Linked DNA regions of Oryzias latipes. The protein of the gene in region 1 binds, or shares a complex with, the protein of each later gene. Links are inferred from orthologs where the notes say so. Each region holds a gene or a part of one and is shown on either strand. Other genes may lie near its edges.

Region 1 (4,159 bases):
CTTCTTCTTCTTCTTTTGAGGATCAGTTGTGCTTTTACCTCTGTAATAAACTTAAAACACACAAACAAAAAACCTTTTATGCTCAAATAATGCATATTTACAACAAAAACAATTAAAACACATTTCATACAAAAAACTGATGTGTTCGGCTGCACCATCAGACTGACAGGAATAATTCAGATAATAATAATATTCAGATAATGTTCCTCAATTACCAGCAGTGGCAGGTCACACTGTGTTTGACTTTTCCCCCATTCAGAGATGGAATTTATTGGAAACAGCTTCTGTTTTTATAAAAGTCATATTTTCTGGGTGTTGGGCTGATGGCGGAGCAGACAAATGACTCACACTAGTGAAAAAGAAAGTCAGTTCTGTCTTGGACTGCCTGTTGGACCTTATTAAGAAAATCGAGGTCAGAGGTCAACCTTTACATACGTTAGGAACAATGCCTCACATCCTTTGGACCACACTGTGGAGGGATCCAAGAGGCAGCAGGACTCTCTAATCAATCAGCCTAATAATAAAAATATTAACAATATTGATGGGTAATGACAAATAGTCTTTTAAATATGAATATTTGTTTTTCTTTTAAAACGTTTTAGCTTTGTATTTTTTGCCTTATATCATATTCTGCATTTCTGTTACCGAAACTGGGATGATTTTAGTAGTTTAAATAAAGGTGTGAAAAATGTCTTATCTCATTTTTATAAGGCTATTTTTATTCATAATGCTGCAGAAAAATAGGAATTTTCCAAGTAGTTTGTTCCCAACATCAAGAATTTATTTAACAATGTAATTAATTTCTGATAACATAACAATTTCATAGGTTTTGCAATAGGTTTTTTTAAGTTATTATTAGGATTTCAAAATAAACATGACAAAAAAAATCACCAGCAAAACATTCGACAAGTAACCTAAAAAAAAGTTTATTTAATTAAAAAAATAAAATGTCTTTCCTCCAAGTAGGTAAAAGTGAAATTACAGTAAAGCATTAAAGGAATTTGGCGCCTCTTTTGGTTAACATGGGTATCACACCAGAAGTGCATTATGGACTAACTCAATGTTTATAAAAGAACAACAAGCTAACTTTCCTCCGTTCTTCCGTTAAAACGTTTTAGTAAATAAATGGTTAGTTGAACTTACCAAACGGTCTCTCTTTAGATTCCTGGTGCTGATGAAAGACTTTACTTGCAAATTTCTGAATGTACGCGTCCTTCGCAGCGAGGTCCATGTTAAAAAACAGATCTAAATTGTTTAAATCAGACGTAGGAGTGGGAAAATAAGTACATTTGATAGTCACGAACACATTCCTGTGCGCACGTGGGAACCTTCGACAAGTGGGAGGGACGAACAAACACACCGGAAGTAGTAACACCGAGAAAAACTCCGGGCACAAACACATCAATGTAGCTGTTATGTAGTTGATCTTCAAACCTTTTCTTGATTATATTCATAATTATGATCAACCATGGCTTATATTAAATCCCTAGTAGCCTTTTCGAACAGGCTTCTTCACAAACAGGTGAGTTTTTTATGCTTAACCTTAATTTTGGGTGTTTTTTTAATCACCGTCAATTTCAAAGTCATGATGATACACGAAAAGAGTGCATCTAATTTCAATTTGTGTTATATTAAATTTAGTCCCATCATGTTGTTTACATCCAGAGGAACCTTTTTCTGCCCAAACTCTTGAAGCGTTCAAACGGTAATACATTTATTACTATTATGATATTTTACCAGATGATTTTATGTGGGTTTTTAGAATGCTAGGAAATGTTTTGCCTGTATGATTTGGTTTCTATCTACTCCCTCTGTAGCGTAAATCCTTTATATCTCTACATTTATTGTTTTTGTGGTGGCATATTGGTGGGGATTAAGTTAGAACGTCTACAAAAAGCAAATATTATTACTTTATAAATATGCAAAATGTAACATAGCAAAAAAAGTAAGTAAATTTGTTTTTGGTAAGTCTCTTTACAGGTTGTTAGAATGTATCATGTAAATAAAGCTTTTACTTTGAAAACCAGGTTTTATACTTGAAATTTGTTTCTTATTGGAATTGAAATCAAGCACTTGTGGGATGAGCAGCAGATCTGACAAAAAACTAAAAATAAACCAAAAATATATATACAATTATTGCTACTGATAAAGAGGATGTAGATTGTGTTTTTAGAGGTTTTTTATTTTTAAAGTTGGAAAATGTTATTTGCAAATGTGGTATCACTAAAGGGGGTTATAAGTTTAATATGGTCTAATAATATACTTTTGCCAAGAAGTATTGTTACAACCAATCTACCAAATAGATCAGTTTTTGTTGTTTTATTTGAACAAATTACATTCTGTAATCTTTCCCCATTTATGTATCATTTCTGTTTTTTCATGCTATGTAGGCAGGGTTTTCAGCTTTGGGCGTCTGTGCAGCTCTACAGCAGTCAAAGCAGACAAAACTGAAGACTCGTTCCTCAAGTGGTTTCTGCTGCTCATCCCTGCCACTACTTTCGGCCTCGGTACATGGCAGGTACATCCAGATTTAGTTTTTACTGAACTTGTTTTCCCCTCTGATGTGTAGATGTTTTATAAAATGATTTGATCATGTTCGTGCAGGTGAAACGGCGTCAGTGGAAAATGGGACTGATCGATGATCTGCACCGCCTCACCACAGAAGAACCCATTCCACTTCCACTTGAGTAAGTACTCAGATCTGGGTTCGCATAAATAGATGATCACAACGTCGTTTCTGAGATCGAGGCTATATGTACTACTTGCATGTAAATTTTCCCCACAAAGTTGTCAAAGTGTCTAAATATCTCAATCTTTTACAGATATTTTAACATTCATTAATATTATCAAAATAAAAGCAAGTATGTAAATTTTGTGTTCCCTTTAGCCGGTTTTACTTTCCTTTCTCATCCTGTGTCTCAGTCCTAATGAGGTGAATAAGCTGGAGTACCGGAGAGTGAGGGTGCGTGGGCGCTATGATCATTCAAAGGAGCTCTACATCATGCCGCGCTCCCCTGTCGACCCAGAGAAGGAGGCCAGAGAGGCTGGCAGCCTGTCTTCAAGTGGAGAGACCGGTGCCAACGTCGTCACACCATTCCAGTGCATCGACCTCGGGTAAGGAGCTGCAAAAGCCGTCACGGAACCGAACGCACACAGATGCTACAAGTTCTGCTCCGTTTGTGTTGTCGCTGCAGCATCACGATTCTGGTGAACAGAGGATACGTCCCCAGGCAGAAGATCAGACCAGAGACCAGGATGAAGGGGCAGGTCTGAGTGATGTTCTTGAAGAAAAATACGTTTAACATGTGATTTTAATACAAGCTAATACAGTTGTGCTCTGAAGCATTTCTAAAGCTTTGCTTTTATTGTGAAAGTCACTGAGCTTCCTCAGTTAACCACGTACATCTCAAGTTTAACTGAACTTTTTCTTGCAACAACGTTACACAAAATGGGGGGGGGGGGGGGTCTTTTTAATCTCAGATTTCTGATCATGAAACTCCATAAAGACAGTGAAAACTGTTCAGCTAGAAAAGGGAAAAATAATAGAATCTACTAATTGAGTATAACTGAACACCTTTTAAAGCAATATTTTACCTTTGCTGTGTGGTGTTAAATAGAATTTTGAAAAATATTTAGTAAAATAGGCTGTTGCATTGAAATATGTAGAAAAAGTAGAGTGTTCTACACATGCTTTACATAAATCATAGATCCTAAAATATTTATGTTCCCATTTTTTAAATGGTTTATTGAAAATAGTCTGATAAATGCTGTATAGTTTTTGCAGATTCTTGCACTGTCAATCAAGTTTTTCTGGTTCTCCACACAGGTGGAGGATGAGGTGGAGGTGGTCGGCATCATCAGGCTGTCGGAGAACCGGAAGCCGTTCGTACCAAACAATGACGTGGAAAGAAACCGCTGGCATTACCGGGACCTGGAAGCCATGAGCCACGTCACTGGAGCCGCTCCCATCTTAATCGATGCAGACTTTGGTAACTAATCTGGTGTTTTCATCCCACCATTTTAAAATCAGTAGATGTGAGAGTACTGTAACAGGGCTAGAGCGGTTGACCTGAAGTTTGGTTCCTGCCTTGCCCACCCCTGTGTTGACATGACCTTGGGCAAAACACAGAGCCCCACATTGCTCTTGTGGTTAAAGGCT
Region 2 (3,990 bases), on another chromosome or scaffold:
ACAGGTTTGATTAAATTTTGTAAGGTTTTGAAGAAAAAAAATTAAACAATTTAAAAAATTGTTACAAAAAATGTCCACTTTTAGACGTTTTAAAACTTTTCTAGACATATATATTTTTTTGTACACTAACATTCTAAAGGTTTTCATGTAAAAAAAAGGATTGTTCTGATACCAAATTAACAGAACAAAGACAGTTGATATATTAACCTTTTTTGGAAGACATTTTAACAGAACTGTGAAAGAAATACACCAATTGATGACCAGTATAGAATATAATGGAATTTGATCAAATGGCTGAATTTTTCTCTGTTTGCATCACTTAAATGACTTTATTTTGCTGCGACTGATTTATTACAACTCTTCCTTAAAACTGCTTTCATGATTTATTCAAGGTATAAGTACTTACTAATGACAAGTCGTTTTGGAATTTTGGGCTTCAGGAAAAAATTGCGGATGTTATTTACTAAATTTGTGGTAATTAATCATTCAGTATCCATCCAGCAGAGAAAACACAAAAAAGGATAAGCTTGGTACTTCCAATTATATTGCTTAAATTATAGTTTTAATAATCTAATTTCATTTAAAAATGTTGTAACCTACATTTTGTTTCATACAATGTAACTCCTTTAGTAGTCAACGTCTGTTATTTAAATCCAGGTCATATATAAAAAAGATAATTTTAGAATGATTAAGGAAATGTTAAATAATTAAGTATTTACCCAGAAAATGGTCACTACCATTATTCAAAATAATATAATATAATATAATATAATATAATATAATATAATATAATATAATATAATATAATATAATATAATATAATATAATATAATATAATACAGTATAATATGATATAACATTACATAACATAACATAGTACAGTATAGTATAGTATAGTATAGTATAGTATATGATATGATATGATATGATATAATATAATATAATATAATATAATATAATATAATATAATATAATATAGTAAAATACAGTACTATATAATACAATACAATACAATACAATACAATACAATACAATATAATATAATATAATATAATATAATATAATATAATATAATATAATATAATATAATATAATATAATATAATATAATATAATATAATATAATATAATATAATATAATATAATATAAAAGTTTATTTTGCTTAAAAAACCTGACTTCATTCGGAAGAGGCGGTACTCGTTACCACACCGTGTTGTCTATGGGATTTGTAGTTTCATTCTTCTTACGTCAGCGGAAGTGTTTTCAGCGTCCGTTAGCTAGGTCACATTGATTGCCTCTGTTTTGTAATGTTTTGAGAGTCCCCCCATAATGGAAGCAACAAATACAGGTATGTAACGTCCTTTTATTAAAAAAAAATGCCTCGTCAAGTATAAAATGTATTCGGTAATTTCACCATAAAGATGAATATGTTATCTGGATGATAACTACTAGCCATTCCTCGGTGTCTTGCCATGATCATGCATGACGTTAGCGACATATCGATCCACGACGTTTTGGTAGTTGCAAACCGAACTCCACTTTATTTTTATTAGCTACATTAAATGTTTTGTAATTTTGCACATTAGGCGTTGTACCGTCATGATAAAGCCGTAGTCTTCATCAGTTTAATTTACTAATAAACCGTTTCCATCATCCTCGTTTGGCACACACATCTCTCTTGTTTACCTCCTTTTCTCCTGATCTGATACAGAGGAGGTCCATCTGAGACATGTGGAGACGGACGTGCTGATCCCCAAGATGATGAGGGAGAAAGCCAAGGAGCTTTGTGCGGACAAGGTTGATGGTGTGTTTACAGATAACTCAGCAAATACCAGTGAGCTGTGGGTTAAGCTGACTCCTTCTCTGTACAGCACACACAGATTCGTCTTCATTGTGGCCGTCATGAAAGGAGATCTTGATCACGTGTGAACTTTGAGTGACCTTGAGATCTAAAACCAAAAAAAAAAAAATATTTTTTCATTTTTCTGAGCAGTGTAGGATTTTATTTCACATTAAAACCTCTTGTGATGTTGCTGTCACCACATTAATTTGGACCAGCAACATCCACAGAGCTTGATGAACGTTGATGGCATTTTGGAACCGATAAGCGTAGGGGTGTCAAACTCATTTCCACCGAGGGCCACATCAGTATAGCAGCTGTCCTCAAAGGGCCGGATATAACTTATACATGTAACTAAATGTAATGAAACATACACGTAACTACTCCTTAATGTTAAACAACTAATTTATTTATTATTTATAACTTTTGAAAGTGACAATTACAGTTGCATAGAAAACATATGTTTGCTTGTTACTCTATCATAAATCCTTTTAAATTTGATTCTGTCAGGTTAGGTTATATGGACAGTGTTTAAGTCCTAATGTATGGTTGCCCAATCTGATATTTCAAGGCAGATTCCCCCCCTATATATATAAATACACACCAATTTTTATTTTTTATTTTAAGAAATCAAAAACTTTTATGCTCTCGGGGGCCACATAAAATGACATGGAGGGCCACATTTGGCCCCCGGGCCTTGAATTTGACATATGTGGATAAGAGGAAGGGACTCCTGTTGTAATGCCACTAAATCAACAGTTTTCTGATGGTTTCACAGTATCAGCAAAGTCTCAATTTTGGCCAATTATCTTTACATTTTTGGTCAAACCAAAAAACTCAGCACCTTGATAACACTTAAATATTAGAAATAATGATGTCTAACATGAGTTACTACAAATATAATGTATAAAAAGAAACAACAGTATAAAACACTGCAGAAAACAATAGTAAAATACATCTTTTTCATTATCACTGGTGTATGAGTAACCATCCTCAAAACTCTGGACATTGTACTTTTATTATTCATTTAATGTTTATGACTTTTTTTTTTAAATATGCATCCCTAAGTGCAGAACTCTTAAGATCACCAGTTTTTTTTCTAGTAAAGATTTGTGTTAATCAAATCAATTATTTGATTTCTAAAGCATCAGGTTAACGATTTGAAAATGGCATTAGACTTTTAGTCTCAAAGTCTTTCCATTCCTAATTTTTCCTTAAAATTTAAAGAAGTAAGGGGATAATCTGGATCAGTAAGTTTGACCCAAAAGTGAATTTAGTAAAAGTCTTGTTTGAGTAGGGCAGCATTTCATTAAATTAAATTCTTTGAGTTAAATTTATAGTAAAAACCTCAGAACAAATGGTAATGCAGGCTATTTTCAATAGTTGTTTCTTAATAAATACAGGTTTGTTTGAACGCGTTTGTATTTTTTAATATTTAATATTTTCTGTTAAAAAATAATTACAAACAATGGGACTGATTTAGTTGTGGCTAACCAGCATATTTTACATTAATAATAGTTTGACAGTTATATTGGCAGTTTTTTCCTCTTCTTGGGTCTCTCCTTTCTATTCCTTAAACATTTGACTTGTGTGCTGCTAAACTTTTGCTGTGAATTATATTTAAAGGCCAGGCTAACTGGCATGCCAGCAGTAACTACATCATCTGCACAGAAACACTGCCCGTAGTCTTGCTCGTGCAGTGCTACAGGGCAACTGCAGCGATGCATCAACCAGAGTGACTAAGTTATGTGGTTTGTAAAAATCTGATCACAGCCAGTGTGCGCTGCTTACGCGAGGAGAAGGGTGCACATTCAGGCTGGGGTGATGGGACAGACAGTGGCTATGTGGTAATGGAAACCCCCCTCATCTTACAAGCTTCTCGTCCCACTCATTTTCACACCTTCATCCTCCACCCTCTCATGCTGTGTGCTTGTGTCTGCACACGTGTGTCTGTGTTGGAGTTTTACAAAGAAACGTGAAAAACGCCTGGCAGCACGTTCACTGTGTTTTTGTCTTTACACACAAGCAGCCCACACTTGGATTTTGTGGGCTTTGAGAAAGGCGCGTTCTACTGACCCCAACCCGTCATGATTTTTCCCACTGAATAGATGATTCACGCTAATATTTTAATGTCTTTCAGAACAGCCTAC
Region 3 (4,169 bases), on another chromosome or scaffold:
CCTCTTCTTTTCTGTCCAGTCCAACAAAAAATGTATACAAACATAAAGAGAATAGATGAAGTTTAGCCTCTAATCCAAAATGGGTTTATGTAAATATACACCTTGTGTGTCCGAAGATTCATACCCCCTAGTCCACAGGAAGCAGCATCACACTGCTTAAATGGAACCATTATTAAACCAAAACAAGGCCATGGGTCCGAATCCCCCCCCCCCCCCCCCCCCCAATTCACGTGTATTTTCTCATACATGAGAATGAAAAATAAACTTTTAGGACAGTGGTTATTGTTAAAACCCACTCCGATGAGAATTGTATTTTGGGTGTTAACATGTTCTTTTAGAACATTCTGAATGAACATATATAAAGATTAAAGTGGCTTTTTCCAAATAATTGAATCACGAGCAGATGGAAAAATGCAGTTGGAAAAACTAAACCTAACTCACAGATTTACTGTAGTGTTCTGCCCAACATCACTTCAATACTACATTACTGGAAGAGCTGGGAATTGAACCAACAATGACTGCTTTCACTCCCAAAACAGCAGTCGAAGAGACGGTTGAGAGGTTAGTATTCCTCGTGGGTTTTTTGCCCTCAGAGCCCTATGGGTGATGTCAGAGATCACCAGTCCTGTCCAAATATATCTAGAAGCATCATCCTGTTTTTATTAATATGTATCTGTTAACAGGTGTGCTTCATTTAAATGTTTCTCCGTAATGTATTCTCTCTAAAAATCATCTCTCTTTGCTAACGGCCTCCCCGATGGAGCTTATCCAACTTCAGTAGTCCCGCTCTTCCATCCATTCGAGGACATGTATTTAACTCTAAGACACAACTCCTACCACTTTTCTTAGCAAAGTCTGAAACACTGACATCCCTGTCTGCATGGTGGTGTTGTCTCCTGCACATGCAGTCTGGTGCAGCTCTGTGCATAAGCTACTTTTCCTCTTTTCAGCAGCTTCTCAAAGGTTTCGAAGCAACAACAACACAACAGCCTGAACAATGAAAAATGTTCCATATCCGTGCTGTGTATGGGGCGGCATTCTTGTCCACGCAAACACGTAAACATGATGTACATTTAGTAAACCACAGGTGCTCAAAGGTTACCCGGATCGCAGTCAAACACTTTGATTAGAGTGGTGATAAAACCCGTTTATTTCCATTAAAATGGTGCAGAATATAGACCGAAGAAAGAAAGCCAGCTTTTATTAGCAGTATGAAGTTATCCTGCATGTCCAGGAAAAACTGAATTGTAAAGAAGACTGTTCCATTTTCCTCTATATTTCATCTAGTGCAGCGCGTCCAGAGTCCAGCAGGGGGCAGTAAACAGCCTTTGTGCGGCACAAACCCCCGATAAGCATAGAAGAAAGAAGACAAAGGCCACCGTCCCTATTTAAACCCACGTGAACACGTGTTACGGACGGATTCCGGATCTAACCTGCAGCAGAGCGGCGCACGCTCACGGAGAACCGCGCAAACGAGGGGGAGGGGTCAGGGAAGAGCACGCGCCGGTAGAGCCGCATGTGTTCAGGTAAGAGTGACACTGAACTCACCTGAGCGCATTTGTCCGCCACAGCATTCATGGAGAGGCCATTTCGACCAGCTGACAGGACATTCCCGATGACGTAAAAGGGCCCCGCCCAGTCGGTGCCTCGTAGTCGGTGATTTTTTTTTTAGAAGCATTTTTTTACATCCCAATATTTTCAACAGTGAATGCTTTATCTTTATTTTCGGATTTTTGGAAATGTTTCCTCCTGCAGGAGAAAAAAAAAACATCAGAACAATGTTCCTGTTTTCTCTGGGATTTGTGTACACTGTTCCTGTTTAAATAAAGTTTCAACAAATTAGAAACCAGGACAGGACTCCAGAGCTGTAGACCTAGAGAGTTCCTCTCTATAAGTCATTTTTCTGGCAGCATCCTCTGATGATTTTCCCTCCATCATGTCTCTCAGGTTGGTGTCTGCAGCTCAGCCGCCATCGTGGCTCCGTTTCATCTGTCTTTGCTTTTTTGTGCAGGAAGAGCTGCACCATGAGGGTCCCCATCCACCATCTGCAGAGGCTCACCATCTTCACTACCGTCCTGACGGGTGGGGGCGTTGGCACCATGTACTACCTGATGCAGAGTGAGTGCATGTGTGCGTGCACGCGTTGAAGCAATAGTCTGTTCAAAACAGAAACTCCTGGTTCCGCTTTACGGTCTGAAAGTGGCTCTGGTTTAGGAGTGGAACCCGCAAATGTCTTGGTCTGTCTCTCTGCTGCAGCCCCTTCATGTCTCTGTGACTCATGCACACGTACGTGCGCATGCTCTCTTTTCTGCTATCTCGTCAGAAAACTTTGCTGGGAGTGAATACCATCAACTCGCTGTGCGACAGCTGAAGGCGTGTCCTGTTGCCATGGAGAGCCTTGGAGCCCCGCCCTTACGAGTTCATAACATCCATCTGACTGACAGATACAACCGTGTGGACCATCAGGCAGCCCAGGTACAGTCTGTCAGGGGGGTGTCCAGCCGCTGTGTGATGATGAGTAAACTGACCAGTTTCTCCATTATCACAGGAAGATGAAAAATAGGATTATTTTTGCTAACAAAGTATTAGGCAGAAAAAAATATTCACAAATTAATTCTGTGCATTTGTATGCAGCCTGCTTATGCCGACATAACAGAAGGCAGAATAAATCCAGTTTAAACACACAGTTTAGTTGTGTGACATCCTCCAGAACAGGAAAAGCAGCAGAATTCTAGTTGTTACTTGTCAAATCTAGGTCTGAAACCTGTCCCACCTCAAATTAGGGCTGTGTATTGGCAAGAGTCTGGCGATACGATACGTATCCCAAAATTTTACCAAAACATATTTTCTTTTTTTCTTTAAATATGGCTTTGAAAAAACTCAACCTGAATTTCAATATGTCATCCACTGCAATAAAATGGTCAAATTCAGTTTATTAAATGATCACAATGTTAAGCGCTGCAATTGCGTCTCATGTATAAGTTCCATTTACCAAAGCAAATTCATAGTGCTTTTATTTTGGTAAGTTAAAATATAGAAAGGGAACAGTCAACATTGTTTGATTTCCACAACAAAATATTTTTCAGTATAAGAAAAACAAAGAATGAATGAGCCTTAACCAATAAGTTTCTATTGGGCAAATAAAATGCTGTTTATTTTCAACTTTGCTTAATGTAGCTTCTCCATTACTTTTAAACGGTTCAGGAGTCAGAATGGTGCTTCAAAAATAAAGGGTGGGGTGTGGGGGACACACTGATTATTTCCAGAAACAATAAAGTGATGATGAGGCAGCATGACGGAACGACGAAAAGATGCTTTAATGTGACAAAAGTGCTTTGTTTACATATTATCAGTCTCTGCCTGTGCTGCACCTTTGGCTTTCCAGCCACGCTTCATCTCACACGGAGGTAAACTAACGCTCCTCGCCACGATGTCGCCTTTTTTCAGAGCGTTGTACACATTCCTCTGATCCATCAGGTCGCTAAACTAGAATCTATTGCTGGGATGTTTTGCAGAATTTTAGCCCGCTTTGCTGATTAGCAGGTTTTTAGCCGATGCTAAGCGCATAAGCCTCTTTAGCCGCTGCCGTGCTTCACTCTTATTTATCTGAGCCGCTAAAAAGCATCACAATCCTCGTTTTTATATGTTGCTAGAAGCAACATATAAAAAGCAACATGGCTCAGAGTTTCTGTTTGGTATCCATCGCAAGTAAAAACGAAGTATTTCATGTCTCATAACAACAGAACAAGCTGCCTCTGGCTGCAGTCTTCCTGTTGTCTCGTGCAGAGTAGAGCTGCTCTAAGAGGCTCCGTGTTCTCTGCTGCCAACTAGCGGTCAGAGGATGAAGTGGAGAACAAGAGTCAGACGCTGAAGAGCGCTCAGAAATAATTAAATAAATATCGTTCTGGCAGTAGGGTTGGGCGATGTCCCTTAAATTGGCCGTTGACGATGTTTGCTGTCAATCATCGGTATGGACGATGATATCGTCGTGGGGGGGGCTATTTTTAATATTTCGGTCTTATATAATTGCTATTCGTTGTTTTACTTTATTACTTTATTTATTTTATTTCCCAACTAATGACTCATCCGCGATGATCCAGTATAAACTGAGGGAAGTGACTTTAACAAAAAAAGTAACAAACAAACTAGAAAAGAAACGGTCCGCTCCC
Region 4 (4,083 bases), on another chromosome or scaffold:
GTAGAATCAGTGCTTTGCAGAGCAGACGTTTGCTTTAATAGATATTAAATCCCGCAATAGTTATTAAAAAGATAATAATCATAAATGGAGATTAAAGAAATAATGTAATTAAACTGAAAGTTACAAAAGAAACAAAATACTACAGCAAATGCAGTTGCACATGGTTTTTAACTTGTGCTTTATTTCTTAATTTAGCTCCAAACAATGTGTTTTTTAATTTTGAGTTTCAGAAAATTCAGAAAATGTTTAGGCCAAATGTGGACATTTTAGTCATTATTGTAATTATCAAATGATTACAGAGGATGTAGAAAGTGATCCTGTGACAAAATAAAGTTGATCTAAAAGAGCAGCCGGGCTGCCTTCACTTTTCTGTGACTCAAATCCAATAAAAATGTCAAACTGTTTCGCTTTCATGGCGTTTTTTGTTAAGGATAAGAAATCCGACCAAAATACTTTCACAGATTCTTTTCAAAAATTGATTTCACTTAATCTGCCATCCATACTTAAAGTAAAAACATTTGTTTATTGTTTTTAATTGATTAAAAACGGACCCAAGAAGTGTTTTGGAATGACAAAATATACAAAAAGATTCCTCTTTTGTGAGGAAAGTTGATCCAAACATTTCTCTTTTTTTTTTTTTTTTTACCAGTATTGTCAAAGCTCCTGTAAGCATCATTTCACCCGCTTTTTTGAATTCAGCGACCTTTTCTTACCCACAGGCTGCACATCTTCCTGGTTTATTCCGGACCGATTTATCCTCTGAGTTTGTCCTAAAAAGGAGCACAGCATTTCAGTTAGATTCTTTATTCTAGGGAAAATTTTCATGCTATGATCCATTTCAAAAAATTTCTAGAAATGTTTGATTTCAAATGTTTTTAAAAAAAATTAAGGAAGGAGAGTCTAAAGCTTCAGTTTAGGGAACATATTTGCCGGTGATTGTGAAAATCATTACAGGGGTTGTATTTTTATAATAGTAACATTGCAAAGGTGCAGAAAATCCATGGAAAAAATAAATAAATATTATTATTACTTAAATAATATAACAGTTAAAAAAAATCCTACTTTAAAGAGCTAATTTCAGAAAACCTGATTCATTCGTGACATTATAGTGTGACCTCAAGTAGCTTGAAGTAGTTAGGATTCAGTTTGACCTAAAACCTTCAGATCCTGCTGCTTACATGAACACATCTGGATTTCTCCAAAGATGGAGATTTCTGGAAGAGTTATTCAAGCAGGAAGTCCGAATCTGTGACCATCTTTCTAACTTTACCAAATCCTCTGAGTGCTGCACTCTGATTGGTTAACTCCCCCCTCCTCTAACCCTCCCTTCCCCCAGTTCCATTATCAGACACAGATCAGTTTTGACACAAGTTTCTTGCAAGGAATGTGTCAGAATTCAGAGCGCAGTTGTAGCGCACTTGTGATTTGCGCCAGCAGATTCGAGCAGACGCAGAAGCACATTTGAGCAGTTGGAATCACATATTTGACGTTGTAACTCTAAATGAACACATGCAAATGGGAATTTCTCAGTTCACAGCAAAAGATTTTTACACAAAGATGCAGAATTTTGTTGTGCAAGTATTCACATTCTATATTACAAGATCTCACATCAAATCAAAAGTGCGTTCTTTTTGGAACATATTTACCTTCATAAAGAACAGTCAGATTTGTTTTTTTAGTTGTGTATTTTGATGCCTAAGAATGAACTTTTTCTGTTGTTTTTTGTTTCAGAAGTTTATTTGAACTGCCTTTTTCCCACATCCGATGCAGAAAAACTTAAAATAAATCAGGCAAACATAAATCCTTGAAGCAGGAAATAGAATTTTTGGAGAGACATCTGGCCCAAATACTATTACCAGCCATAATCCATTAAAGATATCAGGCTTTTTTCACCTCAGTAAGCAGACTACTGTTGAAATCAGATCATGATCGGTGTGCATGCAAACTGTTAAATAGCAGCGGCTGAAAAGATAGCTTTTTTTATTTTATTTAATTGTACTTTCTCCTTCATTTATGTTATTTATTATTATCATTATCATCATTATTCACATTATTATTAGTAGTAGTAGTTGATTTTCTCTTTTTCTATTATTATTTTTAATAGTAGTACTAGTACTAGAAGCAGTATTAGTAGTCGTTTTCTTGTCTTTTTCTTGGGCAGACTTAATAAATAAGCTTCTTCCTGCTCTATTTCAAACATGTTTTCTATTGTTGTACTATTTTTGCTGTAGCTGTTTTTATTCATGTTTTCATCTTTAGATTTGCATCATTTTGACTGTATTATTTTTAATTATAAACATGTTTGGGGGAAAAACATAGAACCTATGAGGAAAATTACTTTAAAAGTTTGCTTATTTTCAGCTTTGAGGACAAAATACTCAAATGGAATTAAACTACTAGCTAGCTAAAAGTTAGAAGCTAGCTTCCAAAAGCAGTTTAAATAAAAAAAAAAATACTTCAGTACCGGTACTTCAAATATTTTTTTCAAAACAGCCTTTAGTTTGATTTAGGAGAATATCTTTAGAAAATATATAAAAATATTTGTGACGTTTACATGACATTGTATAAGAGCTAAAAAAATAAATAAATACAAGCTGTTAGCTACTTACTGTACTCGTCTCTGTGCGTCAGAGGATAGACGAAAATAGGATATAAAGCAGCGGCGACTGTTGTTATAAAACCCCCAAAAATCAGCGCTATTCTTATATTTTTCGACATTTTTCTAGCTTGGTAGGACGTAACCTAGCATTAAAGACACCCCGTGTTTACAACTTGTACTTCCGGGGAAAAGGTTACGCTGTCACATTTTTTTTGACAAATCTTTATTTAAAAACCAAAAATGACAAACAGCAAGGAACACAGAGCAATACACTGTATATCAATTTTGATAGATAAACGCTAGGGGTTATGAAAGTAAAATTATGTTAATCTATTAAACTGAGCCTAAAATCACTTCTAGTGAATGATATAGAAATTACAGATGAAAAGGCTGTATCCTCAGAAATTTACAGATTTTATAGCCACCTTTACAGCTCTAAATTTTCAAGAGCAGACTGTGACAACTTTATAAAAGAGATTCCCCACATCCCCAAAATAGACGACAATTTTAAACAAACATGCGATAAACAACTTTTAATCTCTGAGCTTGATGCTGTCATTAATCGACTCTCTCTTAATAAATCTCCTGGTTCAGATGGGCTCACAGGCGACTTTTATAGACACTTTTGGGAAGATATCAGAAAATTACTGTATCAAGTCTTCTTGGAAATCTTGAAATTTGGCCATTTATATTACGAATTGTTATGACATCAAAAAGTTAAATGTCTTGGGTACAGAGCTTATTATTGGCCAGCTAGCAGATGACACAACACTGTTTTTAAAAGATGAGCATCAAATCAAAGCAGCTATTGAAAAAGTAAAACACTTTTCCAAAGCGTCAGGGTCAAACTTAAATTTAAAGAAATTGTGAACTGTTGACTATTCATGACACACCTTTAAAAGAAATCAATCATATGCCCATTAAATCAGAAATTAAATACTTGGGGATCTACATCACCAAAGACCAAAAAATAAGCTAATCAAGGAATGTGGGTGAAAAACTGGATGAATGTGAGACAGAGTTAAATATGTGGCTCCAAAGAGACATGTCGATGCAGGGCCGGATCTATCTGACAAAGATGGAGTGTTTGTCAAGATGTATTTACCCATCTTACTCTAATGCCATCCCAAACAAAATGATAAAATCCATCTGCCAAATGACTTTAAACTTTATTTGGAGAAACAAGCATCATTACATGAAAAATAAATATGGTCAAAGAATTTAAAGATGGTGGTCTCAAAGTTATGAATTTTGACTGCCGTAACGGAATCCTATAGATAAAATCGTGGATCAAACACAACCAATCTTTCAATCTAGCATTATCAGAGTTCCACAATTCTGCTATACTGGAAAATATTGTATGTGCATCGCCATTTTTAAGTACTATTTGGAACAATGAATACATGCTCCATAGAAACAAGTCCTTGTTTTGTGCTGAATGGTTTGGGCAAAGTGTTTGGTCGGTGACTGATCTGATGGACACG
Region 5 (4,093 bases), on another chromosome or scaffold:
AATTGACCAGTTTTGTATTTGACCAATCCCCTGAGGAAGAAGGAAGCTGGTGTGACAATGGAAATATTTTGTTCAGTGGCAGTTCTACACTGACTTACAACCCCCCCCACACCCACATTGACCACATCGTTTTGTGTTCCCTATTTTTAATTAACACAAAAATCAACACAAATGTAAGAATTTTATATACTCGTATTACAAGGGTGTCAAACTCAATTGCACAGGGGTCCAGGTTGTGGGCCGAACAGGATAAACATTTAGTGAACACATTAAAGATACGTTTTCAAACATTTTAAACTTATTTTGAACAAAAATTTGAATAAAAACAGACAGGAATATTGTTTCGGAATAAATCAACTTCAAGCAGCCCCAAAAATGTAATTGATAATCACAAAGACACTAAATAACATTGTTATAAAATCTCAATCATGTGGATTTGCTTTCAGGAAAGTGCAACTTTAATTGAAATAGGAAAGAAAATATATGCATTTATCAGATGTTTCTGAAATTTGTGGGAGTGCTGACTCAAACAGCCATTCAGCAAATACATATTCATGTCTGCTGTGCATTTAAGTCCTTAGCCAGTAATGCTGTAGTGAGCAGTAATTTGTTTTCCTTTCATTTTTTATCAACATGAAAGGATCCTTTTAAAATAAATTATACCTGTAATTAAAAAAAAAACTTGTATTAATTAAGGGTCTATTTAAAGTATTTACATAATCCTAAGTACCAAGTCAATAAGTTTGAAACCTTAAGTGAATTATTTTTATGTTGAAAAAACTCTGCTTCTAATTAAGTATGTCTAAATTGTTGCATGTTTTGTTTTTTTGGATTTATAACTTTGTTTTGTCTCAACACGTTTTACCTTTGTTATAAAACATAAAAACTGTTTGATCTCAATTTTTTAATCATTGTTTTAGCAGAAAAAAGACCACATTTTTTCTGCTAAAAAATGTGGTCTTTTTTCAAGAATTCTTGAATCTTGAATCTTTAGCAGAAAAAAGACCACATTTATCACTCAGAATTGACTTTTTTGGACAGTTTCAACTTCATTGTGGAGTTATTGTGCAGTATAATGAAAACAAAATCAGTAAAACGAAGTGTGGGTTTTTAAAAAGAGGATGGAAATCAAGCATTGCCGCAAAAACCGATTTGAAGATAAATCAATAAAGCGAAATACGACGTAAGGTCAAAAAAGCCCCAGACCACAAATAAGGCTGCAGTTTGACATCCGGGACAGAAGGGGGCAGTAGCCATCTTTAGAAAATCCTCGACGTCTGATCGACCCAGCAGGTCAGTGAATCAGAGGTCTGAATGGCGGTTTCCAGCATTGCAATTCCATGTTACCATGAAAGACCGCTGTTATTTGATTCTTATTTTCAGTAGATGAGCTGCTGTTTTCTTTTCTTTTTTTCAGATATTGTCCGTCGGATAAAATAATGTCTTTCACGCACATTTTAAAAGCCGTGCAACAAAGTGTGCGGAGCTCCGGGAAAACATTTCTCCCCGTGCAGCAGGCTGGCGTGCTGTTGTTCACACGCAGAGCAGGAGCGGTCATCCCCGGCCTGTCCGTCCGTGGGTCAGAGGCTCCTGTGTCCGCCCTGAGCTGTCTCTGTCAAACACGAAGACGCTTTTCTGTTCACGTTATCCTCAGAAACAAGGAGGAGAAGCACAGGTCTGTTTCTGCCTACCAGAGTCCTAAAGTGTCCTCTGCTCAGAAAGGTATGCCCATTTCAGATTTGTGCAACTAAACGCATATTTACTGTCTTGTCTCTTTAAATGGGGTTTAAAGCTACTATTTTATTTAGAAAAAACTAAAAATCTTGTTTTAGGACCGCCCATTTTGTTTTCTTACAACCAAAGCTGCTTTCAAAGTTTCTTGGCAAGTAATAACTCCTACTCCCTTTCCTGTGGTGTTCCTCAGGTTTCTGTTCTGGGCCCTCTTTAGTCTATACCTCATTCACTCACTTTATGTACTTCATCTTTTTCATGTGATTTATTGATACCTAAAGATTCTTAATGACCTGAAACTGTGTTGGTAAGGTATAAATATCCGCTTAGAAGTTATGAACCGGATACTTCATGTAAAGAAAATGTTAAGTTTGATAAGTTTGCTTCCTTCCACTCCCTTTCAAGCCATCTTTAATTAAATGACTAAATATTCTATGTTTGATACATCTTAGTTTGTATGGATGTTGATTGTGTAGTTTTCAGCATTGTTTTTGCTTTGGTTGCTTGAAATAAGCAATGCCAAATCCAATTGAACAAGGTTTATTGAAAAAAGAAAAGAAAATCCAAATTAATCTTGAAGATAAATTCTGCATTAATTCATCAAATCAATGGATATATTTCATTTTGCATTTATTCCAGCATTGGAATATATATATTCCAGACCAAGAATTTGCTCCTTTATTCTATTTTTATGTCATTATTTTTAAAGTAATGAAGTAATTACTAACTCTGGTAACGTTAGGTTGGGGGTGTGAGGGGGAGCGGGTAATAGGTTGGTGATGGGAAGTGGAGCAGGCTTGCTCCACGCCAACAGCACAGTGGTCAATTTCTATTGAACTACTGCTGCTCTGCAGAAACTAACTAACTAAAGATCTTTAGGACTTGTCATCATAATACCTCGGGGCATACTAGAGGGCCAGACCTAACGTTATGTTGATGAGTTCCTCCTCCTCTTGTCATCTCTTATAGCCGCAGTCTAATAGAGCTACCCGTCTGCACAGACACACAGTTTCCTTTTATATCAAACCTGGAATATTTTCACTCTGGGTTAAATTTTGCTTATAAATCTAAACTCTTCCACTATGCATTGGCCACTCAAGAGCCTCTGCTCTGTTTGTCTTTCAGTCAAAGATGCTGGGAGAGACTTCACCTACCTGATCGTGGTCCTCATCGGGCTTGGAGTAACAGGTGAATTGAACTGCACGAGTCCAAGGAATGGCTACACAACAATCCCACATTGCTTGTTTATATATTTATTTATTTGGTCCCAGAACACACAACCTAAATAATCAGCTGCAGTTTTCTGCTGTGTTGGTCAGGGGGGCTGTTATATGTGGTGTTCCAAGAGCTGTTTTCCTCTACCAGCCCAAATAAAGTCTACAGCAGAGCCTTTGACAAAGTCAGGTCGCACCCAGAGGTAAAAATCAAGCCAGACGGCGTCTCCTATCAATATTTTTTTACTGTTGAAATGGCTAGAAATCATTGTTTTTCCAAAATAAAAGTAAGAAATACATAATCAATTGCAGGTTATTGGGGCATTTGGAGAACCAATTAAATGTTACGGTGAGACCACCCGCCGAGGGAGAAGGCAGCAAGTCAGGTGTGTTGACACTTTATCTTATCTTATTGAACTTTTTCTTACTTGCAAAATGTTGCTTTAGCATTCATTGATTCATGGTATAGAATACAGTAAATCTGATCAAACTTGGCATAACAAGCAGCTGCCTTTAGTTTTAGAGGAAATGCTTTTGCAGGATTTGAAGGACTTCCTTTCAGAATCACAACCTGTGAACATCAGCTATAAATCATATTTTCAGCAGCATTGAATTTCCTTCAACGTTTATGCAAAACTTGTCATGAAGGAGAATTTAGTTTCAGACCCCACAGCTATGAAACATAAAAGTTTTTATTGTCTTTTGAAGAGCTAACGTGGTATTCGTGCTGATTTATTGTAAGCATCTGAGAATCTGGAGCTCTGGAAGAATGGAGTTACAAAATGTTAAGGTTATTACATATATATGTTATTGTTGGAGTTTTTTTATTCCTTATTCTCATATTTCCACTTCAGTCACGTGGAGTATGTAAAGGATGGACTTAAGCACATGAGACTAAAGTTTTACATTGAGGGATCGGAGCCGGGCCTGAAAGGGACGGTGCATTCAGAGTCTAAAGAGGTAAGTCTTTATTTAAATGGAAACCTGTTGTTTCTTGTGTGGATTTTTTGATCAGTTGAGATAATGGTATCCTTGTTGTTTTGCAGAATCTTGAAACTGGAAAGTATGAATTCCGTTATGTATTTGTAGAAATAGATACCTACCCGAGACGGACTATTGTTGTGGAGGACAACAGATGAGGAGCTTTT

Evidence for each region. Proteins that work in one complex are often made in the same cells at the same time.
Region 2: surfeit locus protein 1 (region 1) and cmc1 share a complex: the UniProt entries of both Homo sapiens proteins name them as parts of the MITRAC (mitochondrial translation regulation assembly intermediate of cytochrome c oxidase complex) complex. The link is inferred for Oryzias latipes from reciprocal best matches to the Homo sapiens genes SURF1 and CMC1.
Region 3: surfeit locus protein 1 (region 1) and cytochrome c oxidase assembly factor 1 homolog share a complex: the UniProt entries of both Homo sapiens proteins name them as parts of the MITRAC (mitochondrial translation regulation assembly intermediate of cytochrome c oxidase complex) complex. The link is inferred for Oryzias latipes from reciprocal best matches to the Homo sapiens genes SURF1 and COA1.
Region 4: surfeit locus protein 1 (region 1) and smim20 share a complex: the UniProt entries of both Homo sapiens proteins name them as parts of the MITRAC (mitochondrial translation regulation assembly intermediate of cytochrome c oxidase complex) complex. The link is inferred for Oryzias latipes from reciprocal best matches to the Homo sapiens genes SURF1 and SMIM20.
Region 5: surfeit locus protein 1 (region 1) and timm21 share a complex: the UniProt entries of both Homo sapiens proteins name them as parts of the MITRAC (mitochondrial translation regulation assembly intermediate of cytochrome c oxidase complex) complex. The link is inferred for Oryzias latipes from reciprocal best matches to the Homo sapiens genes SURF1 and TIMM21.

What each region holds. Positions count from the first base shown.
Region 1 is NC_019870.2:7,761,603-7,765,761, reverse strand, and holds the start of surfeit locus protein 1, read left to right. Parts: upstream 1-1,359; 5' UTR 1,360-1,468; coding exon 1,469-1,522; intron 1,523-1,641; coding exon 1,642-1,705; intron 1,706-2,390; coding exon 2,391-2,518; intron 2,519-2,604; coding exon 2,605-2,687; intron 2,688-2,922; coding exon 2,923-3,114; intron 3,115-3,194; coding exon 3,195-3,267; intron 3,268-3,826; coding exon 3,827-3,989; intron 3,990-4,159. Other genes in the region: surf6 (surfeit locus protein 6), read right to left, coding at 1-50, 1,144-1,231. UniProt on the Homo sapiens protein: Component of the MITRAC (mitochondrial translation regulation assembly intermediate of cytochrome c oxidase complex) complex, that regulates cytochrome c oxidase assembly.
Region 2 is NC_019874.2:13,407,157-13,411,146, reverse strand, and holds the start of cmc1 (COX assembly mitochondrial protein homolog), read left to right. Parts: upstream 1-1,190; 5' UTR 1,191-1,329; coding exon 1,330-1,348; intron 1,349-1,711; coding exon 1,712-1,804; intron 1,805-3,990. UniProt on the Homo sapiens protein: Component of the MITRAC (mitochondrial translation regulation assembly intermediate of cytochrome c oxidase complex) complex, that regulates cytochrome c oxidase assembly.
Region 3 is NC_019875.2:5,297,554-5,301,722, forward strand, and holds the start of cytochrome c oxidase assembly factor 1 homolog, read left to right. Parts: upstream 1-1,369; 5' UTR 1,370-1,526; intron 1,527-1,548; coding exon of another isoform or gene 1,549-1,574; exon of another isoform or gene 1,575-1,649; intron 1,650-2,011; 5' UTR 2,012-2,024; coding exon 2,025-2,118; intron 2,119-2,323; coding exon 2,324-2,475; intron 2,476-4,169. Other genes in the region: blvra (biliverdin reductase A), read right to left, coding at 1,549-1,574. UniProt on the Homo sapiens protein: Component of the MITRAC (mitochondrial translation regulation assembly intermediate of cytochrome c oxidase complex) complex, that regulates cytochrome c oxidase assembly.
Region 4 is NC_019876.2:17,386,078-17,390,160, forward strand, and holds the start of smim20 (small integral membrane protein 20), read right to left. Parts: upstream 2,801-4,083; 5' UTR 2,719-2,800; coding exon 2,610-2,718; intron 771-2,609; coding exon 714-770; intron 1-713.
Region 5 is NC_019878.2:15,518,283-15,522,375, reverse strand, and holds the start of timm21 (mitochondrial import inner membrane translocase subunit Tim21), read left to right. Parts: upstream 1-1,293; 5' UTR 1,294-1,308; intron 1,309-1,417; 5' UTR 1,418-1,439; coding exon 1,440-1,722; intron 1,723-2,856; coding exon 2,857-2,919; intron 2,920-3,050; coding exon 3,051-3,148; intron 3,149-3,257; coding exon 3,258-3,331; intron 3,332-3,799; coding exon 3,800-3,905; intron 3,906-3,991; coding exon 3,992-4,084; 3' UTR 4,085-4,093. UniProt on the Homo sapiens protein: Participates in the translocation of transit peptide-containing proteins across the mitochondrial inner membrane.